2 linked regions of the Tribolium castaneum genome follow. The protein of the gene in region 1 purifies or fractionates together with the protein of each later gene. This does not show direct contact. Links are inferred from orthologs where the notes say so. Each region holds a gene or a part of one and is shown in the gene's direction. Other genes may lie near its edges. The genes, in order: NADPH--cytochrome P450 reductase and EMC4.

Region 1 (13,121 bases):
GTCACAAAATATTTGACTCGAGTTACCGCACAACAATCGGAGTGGACTTTCATTCGGAACAAATCAATATTCTGGGAATCCCCTACTACTTACAAATGTTAAATACTCAATTATGTTTATTGTAAAGTAACAAGTCATTTGTAGATGGGATACCGCAGGTCAGGAACGCTTCAAATGCATCGCTCAATGTTACTACAGAAAAGCTCATGGTAACAATAAAAACCAGTTTTTGAATAATCATTCTAATGTTACTTCCAGTTATTATGCTCGTGTTTGATTTGTCGACGATAAGAACCTTGGCAAATTGCAAACATTGGCTACATGACGCTCTCGAAGTGTGCAAAGACAACGCCCCTTTTATTTTCCTTGTCGGGTCCAAGAAAGACTTGCTCGTAATTGTTTAAATAATTGCTTCAAGTCTCTTGATTAGTAACGTTTCAGTCGCAAGAAGGGTACAACAGTGTCGAAAAAATCGCCCTAGCAAGTGCAAAAACTCTGAACGCGGAATTCTGGAGCGTTTCGTCCAAAACTGGCGAAAACATTGACGAACTGTTCGTCAGGGCCGCAGCTCTGAGCTTTAAACGGCACATTAACATAACTGGGACGGAAAACATCAACAACAATAGCAAAAAAATTGGAACTGAATTAATATGTATGACAAGTCTGTTTACATTTTTTTTTCAATTAATGGTGACTTTCAGGCGTGGAGAAAAAGAGAAGGGGTGATGATCGGCACACTGGGTGCGGTAGCAAGTGTGCAAAAGCTTAAATAGACATGTTTTTCCCCCAAGTATTTAGTTGTGTAGGCAACCAGTTATACGCCGCACGTGACCTTGCCGGAAGTATGTAATCACCAAAACAGCCTTGTGTTCGTTTTGCCCATTTCTCGCACTTTGGACAGATAAATTTTGTTGCGTCCGAGCCTTTGACGTAGTTACCTTATACCCAGTGTCTCTAGTTAATTTACGTTCACTGTTTTAATAAAATTAACGTAAAAAATTAAGTGTTCCCCCCTTGTTTTGCAACAGGTGTGGTAATTTCGGTCTGGGTGTTTGCAATCAAGAGGGCCTTCGCCAATTCCCGAGTTATCAACAGCCAGGTAATGAATAATAATTACTTGGACTGCACTAATAGGCCAGTTTGCGCGGCAAATTTAAATTGCGGGGAAAATCCCCTTGTGGAGGAATGACCCAACACGTCCCTTGTGTGCCGTGTTTTCGTGGTCAATTAATTCCGATTTATTCCAATTTCGACGTCACTGTATAGGTGATTCGTGATTTACATTTAGACGTTGTTTTCAAGTCACGTACACCAAGTTGTAGGTATGTACATATAAATTTGAGTTTTTGTCAAGGCATTTGCAAAATAAAAATTATATACTATTACACTTATTGTTTTTAAGTCAAGGTCAGCCTGAACGGACACGCGAAGATTGCTCTAATGACACCCATTTTCTGTCTCGTGTAATAAATAAAAATAAGTGAATCTGCAAACAAGTAACATAATTACCAGCAATTAAAACCGCACACCGCTGATTATAAGAAGTACCATTAGAAGTAAAACACCAGTAAAGGTCTCATAATCTTGTACTTTTCGTATTTTATTTTTTAAACAGTGGTTTGTACTTGAAAACACCGACAAACCTGTTCCGATGTCTACATTATCTTAATTTTTGCAGTGAAAATGTTGGAAAAGGTCATTAAGTCTTATCGGTTTATTAAAAATGAAATGAAATCATCACGTTTGAGATTAGAGTTTGTGTAAACAACTTGCATCAAAAAGTTACGGCGAAAGTGGAGCAAAATTATGGACAAAATTAGTAAAACGAATGTGTCCTAAAATCAGATATTCATTCAATGCGGACCATAATGCCACGTTCTCAATCACCCGAATGACGGAAATGGACTCTGATTGGCCCAGCGATAGGCAGTTTAATTGCAATTGTACCTAGTTTTATGCATTTAAATGGGCGATAAATTTAATCATTGTAATTTGTTTAGACCGCGGCGTAAAAAATGGCTACAGATTCAAGTTCACTGAAAAAATCTGTCACAAATTCAACCTGAAAATATCTAAACCCGATTGTTTTAGAACACAAGACGGCTCATCATTTTTTTACGATGGAAAGCTCTTTTGATGAGCTTTGTTTTCTCCAAAAAATTGAAAAAATAATGTTTGTGGTGTCAAAGGTATTTTGAAAAAAAAAATCATTAAGGCCCTAAAGAGTGATGATTATCGGATCACTAATAAAAATTATTAATAATAATAACAATAATAATGTGTTGCCAAATACAGGGTGTTTCACATAATTTTACGAGACCTATAGGGTAGGTCTAAAAAGTATGGATACAGTTAAATATTATAAAAACTATACATCCTTAAGAGTATATAAATTCTATCGTTTCAGATGTTTATCAAATTTATGTCCCTATTTGTTCTTAGGATACAAGGTTAACTTGAATTTTTTTTAATGGCAAGAAGGATCAAATTTCATATTTTGAGCATTTTTTCTGAGTTCTGTGGTGTAACACATGATCCCTTATTTTAATCGAAACTTAAAAAAATCGAATTAATAAAATTTTATTAGCCTTGGAAATGTTGTCTTCATTTGTTGTTAGCTCTTTGCCGCTTAAACATTCACCAAAAAATATGTAAAGTTAATAATAATTCTTGAAATAACACTTTCAACTAAAAAAGAATACATTTAAACACGAAATACATTTATGCTACAAAAGATGTTCAAAATTGGCATGACCAACCAACATGAGAATTTTTTTCGCTCAGTTAAACTAATTATTACACACAAGTTTCATTTTTGGACAATGTGACAGATCGCTAATAACAATATTTTCAAAGCTAACTTGGTTTTACTTTTCCAGAAATCGAAATTTAAATTTTTGAATTTTTAGTTTTTTTTTACTTTTTAATCAAAATAAAGGTGGGTATTATGTTACACTACTGAAATCAGGAAAAAACTTATAATTAAAATATTATAATTAAAAATTATTAAGTTTGACCCCTTGTCCCATTTAAAAAAAATCAAGTTAGCCTTGTATTTTTAAAACAAATGACGACAGAGAGTTCAGAAAGTTCTCAGATGATAGAATTTAAACACTTTTAACAGTTACCCAAATTTTAAGGTGCTCTGTTAAACTGTTTTGAAAATATTTAACTGTATCCATACTTTTTTAGAGACCCTGTATAATCAATAATACAGACACGAACTTCACTACAGTTCTTGAAAATTTTATAAACTTGTCCAATTTGTACACTCTTTTACAAAAATTGCAACATTTTTAATTAATAATAATTATTAGTGATAAGAAAGATTATGATTACATTCACTCAGATTAGTGATAAAAAACATGACAAATGAGTAATTGTAAACAATGATAGTTTAAAAACTACCTACTAAAGGCTATAACTTAGGAGACGAAACGAAATACAATATCGCAGGATTTTCAGAACCCAAAAAAATAATACGGTAGTAAATACGTCTTTTGAACGTCTTTGAACGATTTTGGGGCCTAAATGGTTGAAGGTAGGGATATAGCTGACTGAAATTTTATTCTCTAATTTAGGTGTTTAAAAGCTTGGAAAAAGTAGGAATAACTCACTTCTCGATCAAATTTTGCCATTTTCAGCTTATTCTTAACGAAATTTCGCTGAAAAAAAGAACAAAAAATCGAGTGAAACAGGCATTTTATTTTTGTGTTTTTGAGGCGTGTTGACGTCTTATAAAATAAATGAATTGTAGGTTCAAAAAGAAACACAATTTTTTCAATTTCGATCAAATTTGGTGATTTCTTAGTCAGTTATTACTAACTTAGTATGTGAACCTCTCGAAAAAAAAATTCTGTTTTTGGCTGGAAAACTTGCTAAACACTCAAGAACAGCAAAAATTCAACGAATTTTCAGTTTGCTGCTTTTTTATTTGTTTTAGCGCCGCCTCTAAACTTATTAAAATTTTAGCTCAAAAAAAACACCATGATTTTCGACCAAATGTTGTTTTTCAGCTAATTTTGACAAAATTTCAATCAAAAGCGAGCTAGATTGAGAGAAACTAGCATCAAAATAAAATAACATCAATTTCGATCAAATTCGGTGTTTTTCCATTAAGTTTCAAATAAATTTTTGAAAAAAAAAGAACTTAGTTTTAACCTCAACATGAAGAGAACTTAAATAACTCCCATTTTATTATAAGTAATAGGGTGATAGTATTTTGGTCGATTTTTTCAAAATTTTGTGAAATAATTTGATTTGATTCTTCTTACATCTGTAACCGTTGAAAAATATGGGGCAGAGTGCAAATTGGTAGAAGCTTGAAATTTGTTTTAATGTAGTTTACGATAAAATCTGTGTCTTATGTTGATGTCTTTTTGTTTTTGTTTGTATTTTTTGTTTCCTATGTGTTAACCGTTTTACAAATACAATTTTTTAAAACTCATTCCTTTGAAATAACGATTTATTTGTTTCATATCCTAACCTTTAGATATCCGTACAACTACCTACTATCAAGGATCCAAAATTAAAATAGAATTTTTAATTAAATGTGTTTTTTTTGGTTCTGATGTGATGTTTTTTACTTCCTGAATACAAAAATTATCTATAAGTAGACAACTGAGCATTTCGCGGAATAGTACGTGATGATGACAATAATAACACTCGTGGAAAATTAGCTTTCTATTTTTTTGCTTTCTTTTTCATAAATAATACTTTTATCTGCCGAATCCGGAGTTGAGCAATGACACGTAATTATTTAAAGCTTAAATTTTGTTTGTTGCCGATGATAATTTAGGAAGTCACGATAACAAATTTGCCAATTCAATATGCAAATAAATGTTATTACGATTTTTCTTTTTAATCATTTTAATGTAATTCCTTGCCGTGACGTCACACAACATTACTGCATGTAACACTTGCTATTTAAGGTCGCACGGTGCACGGACCCGTCCACTTTTAAATGTGCCTTGATTGCTTTCTGTTTCAACTCGTTCGCCAAAATGGATAAAAAAAATGTGTGCGATTGCTTGAAATTAGTTGGTGTTTTAGTTATTTCGGTGAGTCTAATTGTGCCTCAAGGACGCTCACTTTGCACTTGATTTGCATTTTGCTATTACGGTGCGCTTTTCCGATTGAGCATTAATTCGCTTCGAAACAATAAAAATCGGGAGATCCATTGTTGTAAAGCGCAGCATCATGGTTTCACTTTCATCGCGCAAAAGTGAAATTCAGAATGATCCGGCAAAACGAAAATTCTTATCGCAGTTATTATTCTCGCCGTTCAAAGTTCGTCATTATCTGTTCCTACATGTCATTCCATTTGCTAATAAGTCAAAGTGATTTTATCGATCGGAGCCATTGCGTCTTTAGTTTCGGGATTTTTTCAGCTACTCAAAATGGACGAAGCAGAAGCGAGTCTCGGCACCCAGCAGATCCCCGAAGCCTCCGAGTCCCTCTTCAGCACAATTGACATCATCCTGCTGACGCTCTTAATCGGCGGAGTCGCCTGGTGGTTCCTAAACAAGCAGAAGAAGAAAGATGTGGCCGCCACCGCACGCTCATACTCCATCCAGTAAGTAACTCCCTAAAAAACAATTCATTATTCTAATTGCCACTCGCAGACCCACGTCCATGACCCTCCAAACCAGCTCCGACAACTCCTTCATCAAAAAACTCAAGTCGTCGGGACGCAGCCTGGTGGTGTTCTACGGGAGCCAGACGGGAACGGGGGAAGAGTTCGCCGGGAGGCTGGCCAAGGAGGGCGTCAGGTACCGGCTGAAGGGGATGGTGGCGGACCCCGAGGAGTGCGACATGGAGGAGCTGGTGAACTTGAAATCGATCCCCAACAGTCTGGCTGTGTTTTGTTTGGCGACGTACGGGGAAGGTGACCCCACTGACAATGCCATGGAGTTCTACGAGTGGCTGCAAAACGGCGACGCTGATTTATCAGGCCTCAATTATGCGGTAGGTGGCCTTGGCCGACACGTGGAGGCCCGTAACTGATTGGTAATTGTAGGTGTTTGGCTTGGGGAACAAAACCTACGAGCACTACAACCAAGTCGCCATCTATGTTGACAAGAGGCTAGAGGAGCTGGGGGCCACGAGAGTGTTTGATCTCGGACTGGGCGACGACGACGCCAAGTAAGACAAACATTTTGTATAAAAATATTTTTTTATTTTCGTTAAACGCTAAGTACACCAAGTATAAATCATTAAGTGCACAGTATTTTATTTAAACGTCAAGTATTTTTTTTAATAAAAATAATAAATGCACAGTAATAGTTATTCACATTCCAAGGGAATTATAAGGGTCTTAACAGCCCTTTGGGCAGTAAATCCGTTGCCTAACGGGTGTATTGGGTAATAATTCCCCTAATAGATAAATAATGTTATTTCTTACCAAACTAAATTTCTACTAAAAGTAAAAATTTATTATTTTTGACGGAAGCTACGTATCTGAAATTTTTTTATTAAAAATTGTCTTATAAAAATGAGATAAAAAAGTAAAATCACTGACGGAATTTAAAAAAAAATGAAAAAAACACTTCTATTTTTTGGTTCCGAGGCGTACAAAAAGTTGTAGGTTGAATGGTTGAAGAAAACTAGGTTGGAGGGAATTATAAATCCTATAACTCCCAAGGGAATTGATTATCTTTATGGTTATCGTATCTAAGACCACCTCATGATAATTGTTTTTTCTTCTAGTTTGACTATAACTACTGTCATGAGTTTCCAAAAATTAAATAATTAATAATAATAATTTGTAAAGTTGTGTGAAACACCCTCTATATGACTACAATAGATTAAAAATAAATTCACAGTAAATACATACAGGGCTTTCATTTCAAAACTGAGCAGTGTATTTTTTTATGTAAACAGTAGTTACATTTTAGGTTTCATCCCCTTGTCATTGAATAAGTTACACTTACAGTGTATTTTATTTAATGCCCTTGCCGCTAGCTACCCTTATCTTAATTTTTTTAAAGGCACTTCCTAACGTCGCATTTTACCAAATTATTTTTTTAAATAAGGTTGATAAAAATCTATAGTTAATTATGATTAGATCTCTCATTGAAACTATAAATTACATTATCTATTAAATTTTTGAAGTGCAGAAATCATTTATAACAACTAATTTTGGTGTTTACTTAGTTTTCAAACAGACAATATATTCCATTTCAGTTCATTGTAGAATTTTGCAACAGCGTATTTGAATTTTTTGAAGTGAATAAAACACAAATTGAGTTCTGTATAAGCAAAGAACTTTGTGTTTAACTAAATCCCAGCGAAAAATGGACAAATCTTGAGCCAAGCAAACCCACTAGAAACTCTCAATTTGTGCTCCATTTCAATCCAAAAAATGTAAATGCGTTGTTGTAAAATTCTCCTATGAACTGAAATTAGATCTTGTGAATAACGATTTTTTCAGTGGGCACTTCACTTTAAACAAATTTTAATTAAAAGCTACCTAAAAAAATCGTAAACGCTAGGTAAAAATTATACACGCTATGTGAAGTCAGTATGTACTACTTAAAGATTGTTTATTTAAAAAAATATATATCAACGCAATAAAAAGGGCAGTATCGACCCATTTTGGCGCTCAAAGCCCCGCTCGTTGATTTTTTTCTATACGAAGTGTTTATTTGAATTTTTACTTTATTAATTATTTTTTGGGGCTACCCATCATTTTTACGAATTTTGATCAAAACAACATTTACCTAAGCATTGCTTGTTCTCTCAGATGAAACAAGGTATAACAATTTTTTACAGCTATACTTACACTCACCAAAAAAGTAAACGTACTTGTAAATAATTAATTTCAATTATAAGCAGTTGTAGAAAAAATCCGAAAAAATTTCAGGCTTACAGAAAAACACACTATTAAAGAGAAACCCGCTGAATTTTAATGTTAAAAACATCGTATATACATTTGGTGGACTCTGCCTGAATATTTCACCAAAACTTTTTTAAATTTTAGTGTTTGATTCATCATTCGCTGATGCTTTTCTTTTTTTTATTAATTTTGATAATGGTAATGGTGAGTGTCACAATGATTTTAAAAGTTCCCTAATCAACTCCTATTGTTTATTATAGCAATTAGTAACAATGCATACATACTTAAAAAATAAAAAATTAAGGTTAATTAAAAACAACAATGCCCTCAAGATATTTACTGGCTTTTCTGTTAGCAAATTCGGAAGTAAAATTACCGTTGGGGGCGCCACTGAGCTAGGTCGAAAACAGTAACCATAAATGGCGGGAAAATGTTTATTCGGATATTTTGAGTGTTGTACGAATTTTGGGGCTTCACAATTATTACATTGCCTATGCGGAATGACTATTGTATCTTTGGTGCAAGAAACTTATGTTGACGAATGAGAGATGACGAGGAAAACACGAATAACGAATGACTATTTGGTTCACTTTCTTTATTGGAAAATTATTACAAAGACATTGAAAAGCCTACCTTTTGGCATAATTTACGTTTAAATGTATCAGCAGTTGTTAATCTTTATTGTAGTTTTGTAGATTTACCGCAGCATTTCATGATTTTTTCAGTGGAAAATTCTAACCTAAAATTCATAACACTTCACTAATTTATTGGTTTCTTGAGCCAAAGTTTGTGTTCGCTGTGATCCATTACTTATAATCTTTAATTAGACAACTGTTTGATAACACTTCGTAATCAAAATTTAAATATTTTTCACTTTTTATCCACTTTCAAGTTCCAACAATAAACACTTTATACCACGAAAAACTACAGAACAAAAGTCAACGCTACTATTTACCACCACGTACTTTTAAAGTAATTCTTTCTATTGTAAGTAATTAATACTATACACGCAAAATTGTTGAACAATTCATTAAATGTCAGTTAAATGTGGCATTACGAAAATTTCTTTACTGTTTTCGACATAGTTCAAAAGTCATCACCAGAGGGCGTCTAGTTAATTTTATTTCCGAATACTATGTTAATAATTTTGTCAAAACTGCCAAGTCAATAAGCACTTTCATTAGATGAAAGACCTATGTCCTTGATTTTAAGTAATCCGCCTTCCAAGTTATGATCAAGTTATTATTTAATAAATAAAATAATGACCATGAATATTTTGTTCCGACCAGTACACAATTTTATTATTATTATTATTATTATTATTATTATTTATTAATTCTTCGAAATTGTTGCGCCCCAAACCCGGGATTCTTAGGCTTCTGTATTATTTTTTCTCTTATCAAATCTTTGAACTGTTTTTTTAAAAAAATATGTATTTATCTAGCAGTGTATTAGCATCCATTTTTAAATGTCTAACTCTCGTCTAGCATTGAAGATGACTTTATCACGTGGAAGGACAAGTTCTGGCCCGCGGTGTGCGAACACTTCGGCATCGAGTCAACCGGCGAGGACGTCAGCATGCGCCAATACCGCCTCCAGGAGTTCAAAGACGAAGTCCCGGAGAAGCTCTACACTGGTGAGATGGCGCGCCTCCACTCCCTCAAAAACCAGCGGCCGCCCTTCGACGCCAAAAACCCCTTCCTGGCGAAAATTCTGGTCAATCGTGAACTCCACAAAGGCAACGACCGGTCCTGCATGCACATCGAGTTCGACATCGAAGGCTCAAAAATGCGCTACGACGCCGGCGACCACGTCGCCGTTTACCCAATCAACGACTCCGACCTGGTCGAGAAAATCGGCAAACTGACAAACACGGACCTGGACACCATCTTCACGCTCATCAACACCGACGAGGAGTCCAGCAAGAAGCACCCGTTCCCGTGCCCCACCACCTACCGGACCGCCCTGACCCACTACCTGGACATCACCATGAACCCACGCACCCACGTCCTGAAGGAGCTGTCCGAGTACTGCACCGACCCTGCGGAGAAGGAGAAGCTGAAGACCATGGCGAGCACGTCCCCCGAGGGCAAAGCCCTGTACCAGCAGTGGGTCAACGAAGACAACCGCAACATCGTGCACATCCTCGAAGACATGCCCTCGTGCAAGCCCAAGCTTGACCACCTTTGTGAACTTTTACCGCGTCTCCAGCCACGGTATTACTCCATTTCTTCGTCGCCTAAGCTCTACCCCAACACAGTCCACATCACGGCGGTCGTGGTGGAGTACAAGACGCCCACGGGGCGCCACAACAAGGGCGTGTGCACCACCTGGCTGGCTCTCAAGAAACCGGCCCCGGGACAGGAGCCCCCAACAGCCCCCATCTTCATCCGCAAGTCGCAGTTCAGACTACCCACCAAAACGCAGACCCCCATCATTATGATCGGGCCGGGGACGGGACTGGCGCCCTTCCGGGGCTTCATCCAGGAGCGCCACCAAGCCAAGGAGGAAGACAAGGCTGTGGGTGAAACAGTTCTCTACTTTGGGTGTCGCAAGAAGGCTGAGGATTTTATCTACGAAGAGGAGTTGCTCAGTTACGAGAAGAGCGGGCTGTTGACGCTGCATTTGGCGTTTTCGCGGGACCAGGCGCATAAAGTTTACGTTTCGCATCTGTTGGAGAAGAATCGGGAGGAGGTCTGGAGGATCATTGGGGAGAACAATGGGCACTTGTATATTTGCGGGTAAGTTGGCGTTTCCGATAGCAACATGTTTTAAATTAAAACGCCCAAAGTTCTCGGATGTCTAAGTATGCAACTCGCATACGCTGGTTGCATAACGACAGCCCTCGAACTTGTGTTTTCGCACTCGTATAATTAATAACTATTTTAGGGACGCGAAATCAATGGCACCGGAAGTGCGTAATATCGTCATGAAAATTATTCAAGACAAAGATCAGATGACCGAGCAACAGGCGTCAGCGTATTTGAAGAAAATGGAAACGCAGAAACGTTATTCCGCCGACGTATGGAGTTAATAAAACGTTTCGTTAGGCGTAATTGTTGTAAAATTAATTTAAAAATTGCCAAGGTGCCCAAATTTGTTGAATTTCGGCGACATTCCTGCTATATTTCCAAGGACGGGTTGCTACTGTTAAATTTTACTAAACAATATTATATTTATAATAAATGGTATCGTTTTACATTGTTTTATTTTTTCTGTTTCCAAAATAACTGGCCACAAGTAAGTTGAAGGACACACGTTTTTTTGTAATTAATTCTTATGTAAAATGTTCTAGTGACTTCGAATCTTAAATTCGATTTTCTGTTTGGAATTGCCTTCATCGTGAAGACAAGATGTTCCTGTTAAAATTTTTTGGAAAACAAAATTGGTCAAATTTTGTGTTTACATCGTCTTATCTTCCTTCAGGATATGGCTAGAAACTTTATTTCTTTGCAAAAAATTCCTCAATGAATGGATTCTAACGAATAGACACAAATAAATGAATATACAAACTCTGTGTGGCAAAGTCTAGCCGAAGGCTGTTCAACTCAAGCCCAAAAAAAAATATAAACATTAAATAATAAGAAAAATAAAACAAATAACTTCAGAGAAGTACATAAACAAAACAAGAAAAAGAAACTAAAACTTAAAAATAACTCAAAAGTGAGTAATGTAATGATGAAAACCATAAGGTTTTGTGAAAAGAAGAAATCTTTGTACAGTGTACTACATTTATTCACCGAAACATTCAAATGAAAAAGTACCGAGGAATTCAAAACTTGTAACACCATTATAAATTAACGAGTGTTGAAAGATAAATGTACTAAACGGAGGCATAGAGATTATAACGTATGTTATAACATTATAAATGCTTTTTTTGAATCTATTTTTTTTCTAAAGTAGTATTTTCTAAGAAGACGAAATTGTTATATAAGTTTAAACATAAATGTACTCAATTAGTGTTGATAATATTTTCAACTTTTAACCAACGTAGCTAGGGTATTTTGAGCGAGCCATGATCGTATTTGTTTAGACCAAAAATAAACCCACAACTATTTAGAATTTTACGTAATTTTAATATTGTGATATTATCTAAACAAGGATAGTATAAAATTCAGCAATATTTCACTAATAATATAACTTTATATCTAATCATTTCGATATCTTTATCACTCACCAAGTTATCGCAATTTAAATTTACTGTGATATGCACTTGAAGTGGCATATTTCCTTTTGTACTCGAAGTGTTGCCTGTTTACTTTTCTCAAAACTTCTAAAACTCGTGTATTTACGTTAAAAACTACATTCAATGAGGAACTTTTTGCAAAAAAAATAAATTTCTAGCTTTATTCATAAGTAAGATACGAAGTAAATGAAAAATTACCACAAAAACGTCTTTTCCAAATCAAAAACCAACTTCGGATTCAAATTCAAGAAAACATTTTGCTGAAGAGTAAAGGTTCAGTTTTTGAGGATCGTTGATGAAGGCCATTACCGAAAATTCGTTTTAACAGTTAACGATTAAAGATTTCACGTTAAAATTAATCCCATTTTATTGCTATACGGCCAAAAGTATTTCATTTTCTCTTGTAGTTTAATTGTTGAAGGGAAATAATTTTCAAAAAACACAATTTTTTTTAGTTTTCAGATTTTTTTCTGAATTAAATAAAGCACTGATTGCATTTTAAAACACTTTCTCGCCTACAGCCCGAGTAGGAGAACGTTTCCTGTAAATAACTTTCCAAAAATGTTACTTACAACAGCTGTAAAACACCAAGACAATGGCTGAAATTCGGCGCTTTTTAACCCTTCATTCACAAAATAAAAGTAAACTGTCACAATGAAAAAAATCTGTTATATTTTACTTCCGAAAAGAAAAAAAGTACAAGAGATACTATGTACAAATATTTCATAAATACGAAACTAGAAAAAAGAATCATCAATCCTTAAAAATAACGAATACGTTTGCTGTGTGAAAACAGTGCAAATGTACGAAAAACCAGTTCGTTTTAAAATAAACTTAGAATGGAAACACCAAAACCATTGGTAGAAACAATAATAATAATAGGAACATGTATACAAGATAAATGGATTGATCATCCTACAGTCACCTAGTTGCTCCCCAAAAATATACACAAAAGCTAGATTAACATTATCAAAAAATACAATTCTTTATGTACAGTTTAAATAATGACACTAAACTACCACGTAAACGATAGCGCAATACACTAAATTTAAATTAGTAATTGAGCACAAACAATTAAGGTTAGTACTGAAAATAGAG
Region 2 (11,774 bases), on another chromosome or scaffold:
CTCTGTGAAATGTTTTTTACACGTACAGATGGTTTCCTTAGTTAAAAATAATTAACTAAATTATTATTAGATCTAAACAGCGTCATGGAGGAGATCGAAGAGTTTGACGACCTTTCTCTACTGCTAATTCAGGCTTTTTATGAGTAAACTAATAGGTGTTTTAATGTAAAGTATGCAAAACATCTGTTTTAACGCAACATGATGCGTTAATAAGAAAAAATAGCAACTTCATTATGTATTTTTCTACATAAATTCGCCCGTTAAAATCAACCTTAACTGTGATACCGTCACTTCTCAACAAAACTTAATAAAACAATCGCAACTCTAAATGACTAGATCACAAGAGGTAAAAAATTAACTAAACAATATCAACAGTCTTAAAAATATCAATCTTCCTTTTCCTCACTGTTCTCAAAGAGAATTTTCGCACCAGCTACACTTTTCACCGGACTCAAATCTCTGGAATTCCCCCGTGCCAATCCAGCTCTATGCCACATGACACACCCTATCACACAAGCCACAGAAATAACCAGCTGTACCATCAACCAGACGATTATATTAATGGCTTGAGTCCGCTCAAACAACTCCCTTCCATGTTTGATACAAATCAAAGCTTCCGAGACCATAATGCACCCATAGACCCAGCATTGGGTACCAACTCTTTTACACGTAGTATCCGTAACATAGCTGTAGTACTGTCGCACAGAGGGCGCCACTATCACACCAATGAGAATCAACCTAGCGCTGACTAGTGGATGAGACGCTGGCAATTCGAAAACATGTTTGAGGAAAAACGTGTTGAGTTCGGACGTTTGCCAGAACAATACCAACTGACAAAGCGCAAAAACCCTCATGTAGGAACACTTCGGGTCCAACCACCGGACCGAAGTCCAACTCTCCGGGGTGAACTGCAGCATGGCACGCTTGATTTTGCCGGACGTGGTGTGGATGTCCCTAATACTGACCCATTTATACTCGCGCATTTCCAATTTTTCGCAAATCTTCAACCCGCACCAAATACCAAACCCATTGCATATCAACACGTCGAGAATCAATGCGTCCCACCAGCACTCGATGAAGTTTGGCAGGAGATGGGCGAAGGCGATTTCGGTGATCTCCCACATGAAGCTGATCGCCCATAAAATGCCCATGTGCCGGATTAAAATTGCTTTGAACAGCCAACCCAAATAATGGCCTAATGCGAAGACGTCGATATGGCCCCAGATGCGTTCGGGGGTGATGTCCGAGCAATTGACGCCGTATTCTTTGTCCATGTCTATGTGGAAGTCTTTGAGGCTGGGATCGAACCAGAGAAGGATGTTTTTGACGGTTTGGTAGTTTTGGAAAAGGAAAAAGAGACAGCCCATGAGATAGATGACGCTCATGCCGAAGACGACGCGCCAAACGGCCGGATGTGGACGAGTGAAGGGACCGTTGGGGAATGCCAACACTGAGATGATGAGGAAGAAGAAGATGCAACATAGCATGCCTGCCCATATGTTGTTTTCGACGTTTTCAGTATCCCTACAACAAAAACTGACGCTGAAAAAACAACCCCTACTTTCCTGTATAATTTTCAATGTTCCAGAAATTGATTTATTAAAAGCTGCGACCGAAAGAGAAGTGACTATATTTAAATACGAGGACCGGAGCGCTTACGCGCAAAGAAAAAATTGTGGTTTGTAACTTCTTAAAGTTCTATACACCGAACTAGCTTTGATAAGGTATACAGCCTGTTCCGGCTAAACCCCACATTAGCAGCATTGAAATTTCTAATAAAGATATTTATTTGGAAGTTGGTACTCAGCCATAATCCGTTGTGTTTTGCTCAATAAAATTTTTTTCAAGATGGCGGCACCTCCGATTATACCGGAGGTCGCTATCAACTTCATTATTTTAAATGGAAAGCTATTTTTCACTGCGTTTTTTGATTAGTTGAGTTATTTTAAAGCCGTGTTTATTAGCTTTCCCCATACCAAGTTTAACCGTCTTCGAGATATTTAAGATTTTTTGAGAATTTCTGTAGTTTTTGGATTTGCACCTTAAAAGATCGGTAACTCTCTTAGTTTTAGAGATTTCGAAATCATATTTGGAGAATTAAAGAAGAAGGCCTATATCTGTTCTTCAGTGTGTTCAAAATTGTAAATGAAGATAATAAACCTAAAAATTTTTGAGTTAAGTTTGGAGAATTTCAAGTACCCATAACTTATTTTTTTCAAATGGGATGCCCTAGTTTTTATTTTACTAGATGAAGGAGAATTTTGTTCTGCATCGATATGTATTAGTATTCCGGTATAACTGGAAGTGTCACCATCTTGAAAATATTTTCATTGAGCAGGACGTAACAGATTAGGGTTGTATACAAATTTTCAGATAACCATCATTATTAGAACTACCAATGGGGTTTAGACGAAACACCCTGTATATGTGTTTTTTTAAAACGGAACACTCAACATTTCAACTATTTCGATATAATACCATGCTTTGAAATGTGCAAAATTTTCAATAATGAATAACAACTATAAATTAACTCTTAATAAAATAAATGAACTGAGCATTTAATCTACTTTTGTTTAACCGCAAAACAATCGTTTTTCAATACCCACAAATTAACATAAAGAACTAACTAATTATTATTATTGTCTTTCATCAACGTAATTTATAGATAAAATCTATCAAGTGTGATACTCATAAGATGAAAAGATGAATTAGTAGCTACTAGTAACACACGTATAGTAGTAAGTATCGGAGATGTTTCTCTTTTTAATTTAATGTTAATCATTTTAAATTCTCTGTTATTTCAGTTATATAATATGATTATACAAAAGTAACTAATTATAAGGATTTCCAACATACCGTCACAATGTCCGAATAAATAGTAGGTTCCAACTTTGGAAATAACACCAGAGATTATAACACATAGAAATTAAATGCCAATTGAACTTATTGAAAGTTCAATGGAGTGTAATACTAAAAAATGAAAATTTTTATACGGATAGCCAACAACAAAATAGGCTACCCATATTTTTTTATTTTAAGCAAAGCTCAACCGTTTTGGAGAAAAATAATTGAAAAGGTGAAAATTCCTGGCCTGACGTCAGCAATGTTCCTTTTTGAATCAGCCAGGCACAGAACTTGAGATAGAAAACTGGGCCAACAAAGATAGCTTGAAAGACGTACGTTTTTTCTTAATTTCTGCCTCTGTTGTTTTACATACGACTTCAGATGTGCTGCAAGAGCAGTCATTTTACCAAAACATAAACTTCTGCAAAATATTAGCACACAACACAGTCACAATCGACAACGCACGGCTTTGACATTTGTATTTGACGTTTACCAACCCAAACGTAGGTCGTAGCATTAATTGTATGCAGCGAAAGACTGACGAATCATTAGTCGAGACATTGCTACGTCACAGCGCGAATTTTCTATTATTACTAAAAAAGTACCGATTTAAAAAACTCAGACCGATATTACTAGACATCATGTTGTGTCTACTTTCAGAATCTGCAATTTCCAAAAACTTTTACTTTCGAGTATAACACTCCATTACTCATTTTTTTTTTAATTTTAAAAAATTTAAATTTACTCGACTAGAAATATTTATTTCTTGACGGGTGCTAAAACTTGGAATACCCTGCATTTTTTTTTTTCAATAATTAAAAAATAAATTTAAAGTTGGTTTATTTTAACCATTTAACATTCAGATTGCCATACCATAATTCCTTAGTAGTGTCGTTGCAACCTTAAATTTTACTACTAGTGTAACGAAACAGAATTTAAAACCGCATTTGAACACTATAAAAGAAAAACAAGGGAGTTTTATTCCAGAATCTGAATTAATAACTTCATCCGATAGGAAGAACTGAGTGATGTCAAGAAAAAAAATAAAGAAAATTAATAATAATTATTATACAGACTGATCCAGAAATACTGAGTCTGTTGGCAACACTGTTTAACATTCTTGTGGGGTTGTACGTCAAATAATTGTCAAGAAAAATCGAATTCGGTTACAGTGTTGCAAATTACAAGCACAAATACTTTCAAATGTGTTGCCAACAGACTCAGTATTTCTGGATCAGTCTGTATTATAATTTATAGCACAGTCTTTGATTTTTTTTTACTTTTCTTTATATGATAAGGATATCATAAATTAGGTTTAAGGTAACGTCGGTGTCTAAAAAATCCTTACATAGCACTCATGGCGAATATTAGAAATAATTCGTCAAAATTGAAACCATAAACAAATAATAAAATATAAGATTCCCACTCGCACGATATCACTCACTTTCCACACTCGTTACCAGGTGGGGCAACCTTATCGCGCACTCAAGACAATCGCGATTTCTAATGAAATGAAAATCCTGCACATTGATAACAACCATTCTCAATTTTTATTTAATTGTTTTGTTAATAAATAAAGTCGTAGCAGTTTTATGAGATTTTGGGCACTAACTGTTACCTATAATTTAACTACAAAGTTTTTAGACTAAGTGAATCCTTACCTGCAAGTCCATCGAACCCTGATATCAGAAGTATAAATTTTACTTATTAAATTTGTTAAATAATTGGTCTTTTTTATTTAGAAGCAAACCAGAAGATGGTATAATTTGCCTACAAAGGGATCACTTACCAGTAGCCGACCTTTTTGAAGCCCCTTATTTACAGTATTGCAATAAAACTGATGCCTGCATTGAAATATTCCAACGAAATCTTACCCCAATTAATTCACATTGTCACCTAAATTTACGACGCCACAAGAAGCAACTCATAAGTAAAAATAAATTTTGAAGTTAAAATGTAAATGTGGGTTTGGTCGAAAATTGCTTTTTCCAATTATTATCTTTAAGTAAGTAAAAAATTACCAAAAAATTAGAGGATATACCTTTTGAACGTACAGTCAGGCGTGTAAAATGCAATTTTTTTAATTAATTACAAATCGCGATTTTCTTAGATGTGCGATAAGGTTGCCCACCTGGTATACTATTTACGTTATTCGAGAATTTAAAACTGGTCAGTGCCCACTCATTTTCTCAAATCTTTTTCTCGTAAAATAAAAAGCATACAAATGCTACTTGAATTGGAAATAACTGTTAAATATTTGCTAGAAAAACTTACTACAAAGGACAAAGGTTTTCTAAAACTTACGATTTGGAGATTAAGAAAGACAGCACAGTCATTTTCAATACTTTGGGTTGTGCATGAAAGGATAAGGTAAATGTAATTATTATAAATTGTCCCATATCGATAAATAAATTGGAATAGACAATGGGTTTTTTGAGTCTCACTACTTACATTTTAAATTTAAACATCACTATTTATTAAGTGAGACCCATGCAATGAATTTTGCAGTAATGACTCATCCTACACCCATAAATCCATGTGTATCACTCCCAATTAGCAATTTTTGTATTTATATGGAGTTACAGAAGGTTATTATCTTTGCAACAAAAAGGAATTTAAATGAGGATAGTTTTATCCAATTAATTATCTTAGATTCTAGAGCAGAAGAGTCAAAGATCAATGATAAACAAACGCAAAAAACTACTAATAGATAAGAACCGACTTGTCAGTGAATACCAATCGGAACAGCCCTTTCTAGGGGTATTGAAAGGTGCAGTTCTTACATAACCTAACCTTCACATTTAAAAAATGATTACTTACCTAACGAAAGCAAAATAAATAACGATAGCTATCGATATTGCAAGTGCAGAAATGCTATGTGGGGTGTAGAAAGCTTCTAACGAAATATCATCCACCGGTTTCTCATTTATGGTGTTGAAACTGTCAAATCTACTCCGAGACGATGTATTCGATTTTCCCTTGGAATTCTTCTCCATTTCGGTGTACTATTTTTATTGCTTTAACGACCATCTACACTTGCGAACTGACCTTTAACTGATTCACAAGGAACTAAACACGATTGTTCGAAATAACATGTGATTTTCCAATCAGCAAAAAGCGCGAACCGAAACTCATTCGTGAATCAGTCATTACCACCAACATAAGTCTAGTAATTTAATATTAAACACACCCTCAACACTTGGTAAATTTCAATCATTACGATTGGTGGACATGGTGGCAGTGTCTGAGGTGTGACTTGTGTTTTGTTATTCTTGTCAAACTTAATCGTTAAGTGGTAATTACTGATGGTTTGGTGCTTCAGGAAATGACTACGTCTCGGTTAATTCAATCCCGGACCTAATCTCTTTTATTCAAAACTCGTTTGAATTTTTTTAGTACGCGTGTCGTTACCGCAATCGATAGTGGTTACAGTTACGACAGTCGGACATAACCTGAAATATTAATAAGTTTGTGTCAATAATTGTGTCAAAATTGCAGCAGGATGTCTACGAAACTTCAGATCAGGCGGCAAAAGTGGGCTTTGGACAATACCAGGTACGTTCTGGTGGTTGTATTGCACTTTTACCCGAGGTTTCAGAAATCGCAGTGTAGCAGAAGGTTTGGCCGCTCCCCCAGCCTTTAGCCCCTCTGGACCTGCCTCAAGCAGTGATGTTTCGAAAAAAACGGACGTTAGTCGCCTAATAACTAAAAAATCGTGGGACCTGGCTTTAGCCCCCTTGAAGCAAGTTCCAATGAACTTGTTCATCATGTACATGGCAGGGAATTCAATTTCAATTTTCCCAATTATGATGGTTGGGATGCTTCTGATGAGGCCAGTTCAGGCCATTTTCGCCACAAAAAGTACATTCAAAATGGTGGAAAATAGCAGTGCTTTTAAACAAATGTTTGTCTACATTTTGGGGAATTGCATTAATATTGGTTTAGCCCTTTACAAGTGTCAAAGTATGGGCTTGTTGCCCACACATTCCAGCGACTGGTTGGCCTTTGTGGAGCCCCCAGTCAGACTTGAATATTTGGGTGGTGGTGTATCACTATTATAATGTAATAGCATAATTTTATTTAAATAAATCACACACAGCTACTAAACGATTAATCTATTGCTTCCTATGTTTATCGGCAAAGTCTTTAATCTTTTCAAATAAAGCCTGAGGGTCGTCCACTCGCGGAATCTGCAAAATTTCAATAATCAATAGAACTATTGTGTAAATCAACAAAAAATACTTACATCATAGTTTTGGCTAAGGTAAACTCCTGCATAAAGTCCCACGATAAAACTGAACTGGAATTTTAAAAATAAAAATTGGCACAACCAACGAATGGTTGCGAATGAATATTTACCAATCCTCTAACCATATTTCTAGTTTGTTTTGGGCCTATTATGTTAATTTATTCCGTTCTTTGTTAACTTAAGTATAAATTGTTCGTCAGCTTGACATTGAAATTTTGTGACAGCTGCCATGTGACAGCCTGGGTCGCCAATCCAAGAACATCAAACTCACCAAGTCCACTAAATGAATAATTTTTTTTGTAGCTTCTTTTTCACTAAATTTTGCGACTATTGAAAACTAATTTGAGGGAAGTATGAGACAACATTATTCGATTTTCTGTTCACAGTAAAATGAGGGCGCTTTGAACGTTAGACGGTCTTTGCTCCGTAAATCGAGTTAAATTAATTAAAATTCAGAGAAATTGCTTGGAATAAATGCAGAAATGTTGAACTTTACATTCTTAAGAGATTGCGAAAAACCGACGACGAAAATTTCCACACATAACAGAAAAAAATGCGATAAGATTATCTCTGTTTCAGATATAGCGAGCTACACCCAAACCGTCTTGAATTTGCTTATACCTATAAAAATTGTATGCTAGGAAACAAAATTTTAGAAAACTAATTTTCTATTTAAAAACTTTAAGGACCATATCTTTATCTTCAAGTTTTTACTTCTTATGGGAGTACCAATGTTGTTGAGTATCTTGAAATTAATTTAACGACCTGTCTTACAAACAATTAAACCGTTGAAAAGAGAAACACTTTTATGAAATGGTCGACTTTTTTCGGATATCTGGTTTTCTACAAGAACCTTATTATTACTCTTTTCTTTTTTTTGTAACTATCATCAATGTTTTTTACTGAATTTTTGAAAAAATATGATTTGCATGAATCAGGAAACTGACATAATTTGATTTGAATGCTTAATTAAAAAAAAACTGTTTGTCTTTAATAATCCAAATAATAAGGTATTTATTTGCAGCTGCTTTTAAAGCCATTGCCTTTTTCTTTTTTGCTCCTCAAAAAAGATTTCCTATTAAATGCTTCTATTGCTTTTTGAAGCTTTTCGGAGATCCAAGGTTTGCCTTTTTCGTTTTTATTTGTAGGTTCGTAACATTTTCAAAAAATAGCAATTAAAAATATTTACTATTTTCCTATAAAATGCTGAGGGGATAACCTTGCGTGGTGTGTACCCTTAGTTGTACATTATTAATATAAATGTTTATATATACAAAATTACAAAAGTAAGCACTGCTCAATGTGATCTTGACTATGTTCAAAAGGAAACTCAGACTGACATATTGATACAAATAAAAAAATCTACTTTAACAAAACATTTTGACCTACGGTAGCATATTTCATTCTATTAACTTAACAGCTAGTTATAAAACTTATATAACTATAACAAATGTGTACCCAACGAATTAAATTAATTCGATGCCACTAGAATAAATTCAGTACTTTTTTTGGTGTATTGACTACTATAGAGATCTACAAAGACAAAATTTAAAATACATTTTTGTAATTTGCCGCCATTTTGATGCTTTAATAGTCATCTTAAAGCATCAAGTGCGATGTCATAATAGTCATTATTTGACGGAACATTTTATGAAAATATTTAGGTTGGCAAGAAGCAAATTCGGGACCGTAGTTTGGCGAATTTCACAAATTTCAGGAGGCGAAGATTAGGTACCTCTATTGCCATCCAAGCTCTTGTTTTTTGACAATACTTTGATAAAACAAAAATTTTAAATCAATTTTTCACTTTCAAAATTAAGATATTACCATCTGTCACAAGCGGCAAAAAGGGGATAAATTACAAAAAATAGTATAAAAAACTTGTTTCATAAGATTTTAAAGCATACATTCTTTCAAAAAACTGAATTCGTGCTTTAAAGACTGGTCTTATGAAACTTGTTTTTTAATATACTATTATCAAATGGCTGTAACGTTGATGAGGTGTTTTAGTCGCTGCGCGATAATCCTCCATTTTTCTCTATATTTTTACATCATTTGATGTTTCTTTGAGGTTTTGAATTTTTTTTTTTAATTATCTATAATTTCCATCAACCGGAACGGCCCTAATACCACACATTATTTGATTATTTCAAATAGGTATACTAACATTACTAACGGAAACAAATTAAGACATAAAAAGTGTTAAATTCAGTTTATAGATATCTTTGTATTTCAAAATAAAACGGTGTATAAAATTGAGGAAATCTTGAGAAACTCATAGAAAATTGTTGTAAAAAAATAAACAAAATTTTGTGGAATTTGTAAGAATTTAGAGTAAATTAAAGGAGATCAGGGAAAATCATTATTAAATTAGAGAAAATCTGATGTACAAAATTTGGAGTGCGGTTTACCCCTCGGTTAGAGATCAAGTAAATCTAGGTACCTATTGCAAATTATGTACGTTTCATGGTTATCAAACAGCGCAGCGAATACGTGTGAAGATACAAAAAGTGTAAGGCACAAACTGAAAATAAAAAATAAACAAAAAAAATACCATATTTCTATTTTCAACGACTTAGATTTAAATTAATTTTACGCGTCTAAATCATCGGCAAAAATGAAATGTATTCGGTCGGTTAAATTGGGGCTTAAATCGTAGAAGATAGACAGACATACGGTCCCGCAGACTTGTTTAAAGAAGAAAACTTAACTCTACAACTTATTTTTTCTTACATTTTTTTTGTATCTTCAACTGCATTCGCACTTTCGCAGTTATTTATTTGAATGTAGTTTTCAACATAATTTTTAATTTGTGACTTTAATGCACTATTTGCACGCGTTTTTTTTTGGAATTGTGCACCATTAATCATGATTTATATAAATGCAGTCATTTTTCCAATTTACTATTGCTCTTGAAATTTTTAACGGAACTGACCAACTGCGCGTTCTGGCGACTCTATCGGAACTATGAAATCATAGATTCACTTTCCACAAATGAAAACTTTTATTGTTAAAGAATACAAACTCCTGAAGGCTGTGTGTTATTTTTTGAATTTGGAGTCATAATGCACCCAACAACCCGAAAGTCCCTAAACCGAAACGTCAATGCGGCTGTCATTGTCATAAATTTGACACTTTCAAAAGTCGTTTTTCTCTCATAGCTATTTGCAGTTTAGTTTTAGTTCCCTTGTAGTTTTACGTGTTGCAGCTTTAATACCAACAATGGAAAACTCGTTAACAAATTTCGGTAAATCATTTATTTGCATTTACCCTTTTGCAACGGTAGAAATTGCAGAATTAACCGACAGCACCTTAAAAGCGAATTCCGATTCGGAACACGGTTCGGACAAAAGCGAGACACTCGAAATTTTAAGTATCGGCGACACCGACCAGTCGTCTTCAAACGGAGGCAAGTCTGACGAGGACTTTGACAATAATCTCCCCGAAACGGTGACTCTTCTCAAACATGAAGCAACAGGTGCCAAAGTTTATCTCGTTGGAACGGCTCACTTTAGCAACGAATCCAAGGAGGATGTTATCAAAGTTAGTGCAACTTGACTAGTGTTTGCCATTTTTCCCATTTGACCTTAGGTTATTCGCAATATTCTTCCACATGCTGTTGTTTTGGAACTGTGTGCCTCAAGGACCAACATTTTGTCGTTGGATGAAAAAACAATCTTAGAAGAAGCCAAAAATATAGATTTGCAAAAAATTGTTAATAATATTAAGTCTAGTGGCCTTTACAATGGAATTATGTACATTTTGCTCTTGAATATGAGTGCCCATATTACGAAGGAGTTGGGGATGGCCCCAGGGGGCGAATTTAGGGTTGCTTATCAGGAGGCCGAAAAAATCCCCAATTGCGAGGTGCTGCTAGGTGATCGCCCCCTTGGAATCACCCTCCACAGAGCTTTGTCCAAGTTAACTTGGTTCCAGACTGTTAAGCTAGCGTGGCATTTGTTGACTTCAAAAGAGAAAGTCAGGTACTGAATTTGTATTAATTTGATCTAGTGAAGTTCACATGATTAATTTCTAGCATTGAAGACATAGAGAAGTGTAAAAAGCGTGATATGTTAGAACAGTTATTGACTGAATTGGCGGGCGAATATCCGGCGTTTAGGGACGTATTTCTGAACGAGAGGGACATTTATTTAACTCATTCTCTCCAGGCGGCTGCCACTGCTGCTTGCAAGAAGAACAGAGCCAAAGAAGGTAAAAAAAATCGATTAAAGTGAACCGTGACTTAAAATTAAGTTGGCAACACATATCTGGTGAAATACATCAGTTCTGGTACTTTTATGAAAAAACAACCTGTTGTAACCGCGGTTTCACCACAAACTTAATACGTTGTTAATTAAAAATCGAGTATTTCCGTAAGATTTAAATAGGAGACGAATTTTGCAAAATTTTTGAAAATGGTGTTTAATATAGGGTATCCGTTTTTTTGGTTCACCATCAGTTAGTTATTTAAGAGATATGGGGTCGGTTAAATTATTTTTATGCTGAACAATTATCTGAAAGAAAATTTGTGATTTATGGGAAAAAAAAATTGAAATTTGCAATTTTCGTTTTTATTTTTTCAAGCTGAAACGAAAAGAACTAGATGTTTTTAACTAGCACGTTCTTCAGACACTTTTACAAGGCATTTAAATCTGTCTTCGAATTTTCCAAGGTGTTCTTG

What was found.
Region 2: the proteins of NADPH--cytochrome P450 reductase (region 1) and EMC4 purify together in Homo sapiens (affinity purification with mass spectrometry; 3 studies listed by BioGRID and IntAct, with this or other methods). This does not show direct contact. The link is inferred for Tribolium castaneum from reciprocal best matches to the Homo sapiens genes POR and EMC4.

Annotation. Positions count from the first base shown.
Region 1 is NC_087395.1:17,530,954-17,544,074, forward strand, and holds NADPH--cytochrome P450 reductase, read left to right. Parts: upstream 1-4,900; 5' UTR 4,901-5,003; coding exon 5,004-5,060; intron 5,061-5,390; coding exon 5,391-5,575; intron 5,576-5,624; coding exon 5,625-5,967; intron 5,968-6,019; coding exon 6,020-6,144; intron 6,145-9,324; coding exon 9,325-10,578; intron 10,579-10,726; coding exon 10,727-10,871; 3' UTR 10,872-11,036; downstream 11,037-13,121. Other genes in the region: ras-related protein Rab-36, read left to right, coding at 1-97, 145-209, 259-392, 442-652, 702-769. UniProt on the Homo sapiens protein: This enzyme is required for electron transfer from NADP to cytochrome P450 in microsomes. It can also provide electron transfer to heme oxygenase and cytochrome B5.
Region 2 is NC_087398.1:15,105,960-15,117,733, forward strand, and holds EMC4 (ER membrane protein complex subunit 4), read left to right. Parts: upstream 1-6,147; 5' UTR 6,148-6,346; coding exon 6,347-6,399; intron 6,400-6,442; coding exon 6,443-6,905; 3' UTR 6,906-6,951; downstream 6,952-11,774. Other genes in the region: Pss (phosphatidylserine synthase), read right to left, coding at 387-1,524, 5,665-5,840; traB domain-containing protein, read left to right, coding at 10,316-10,340, 10,389-10,636, 10,685-11,076, 11,130-11,305. UniProt on the Homo sapiens protein: Part of the endoplasmic reticulum membrane protein complex (EMC) that enables the energy-independent insertion into endoplasmic reticulum membranes of newly synthesized membrane proteins.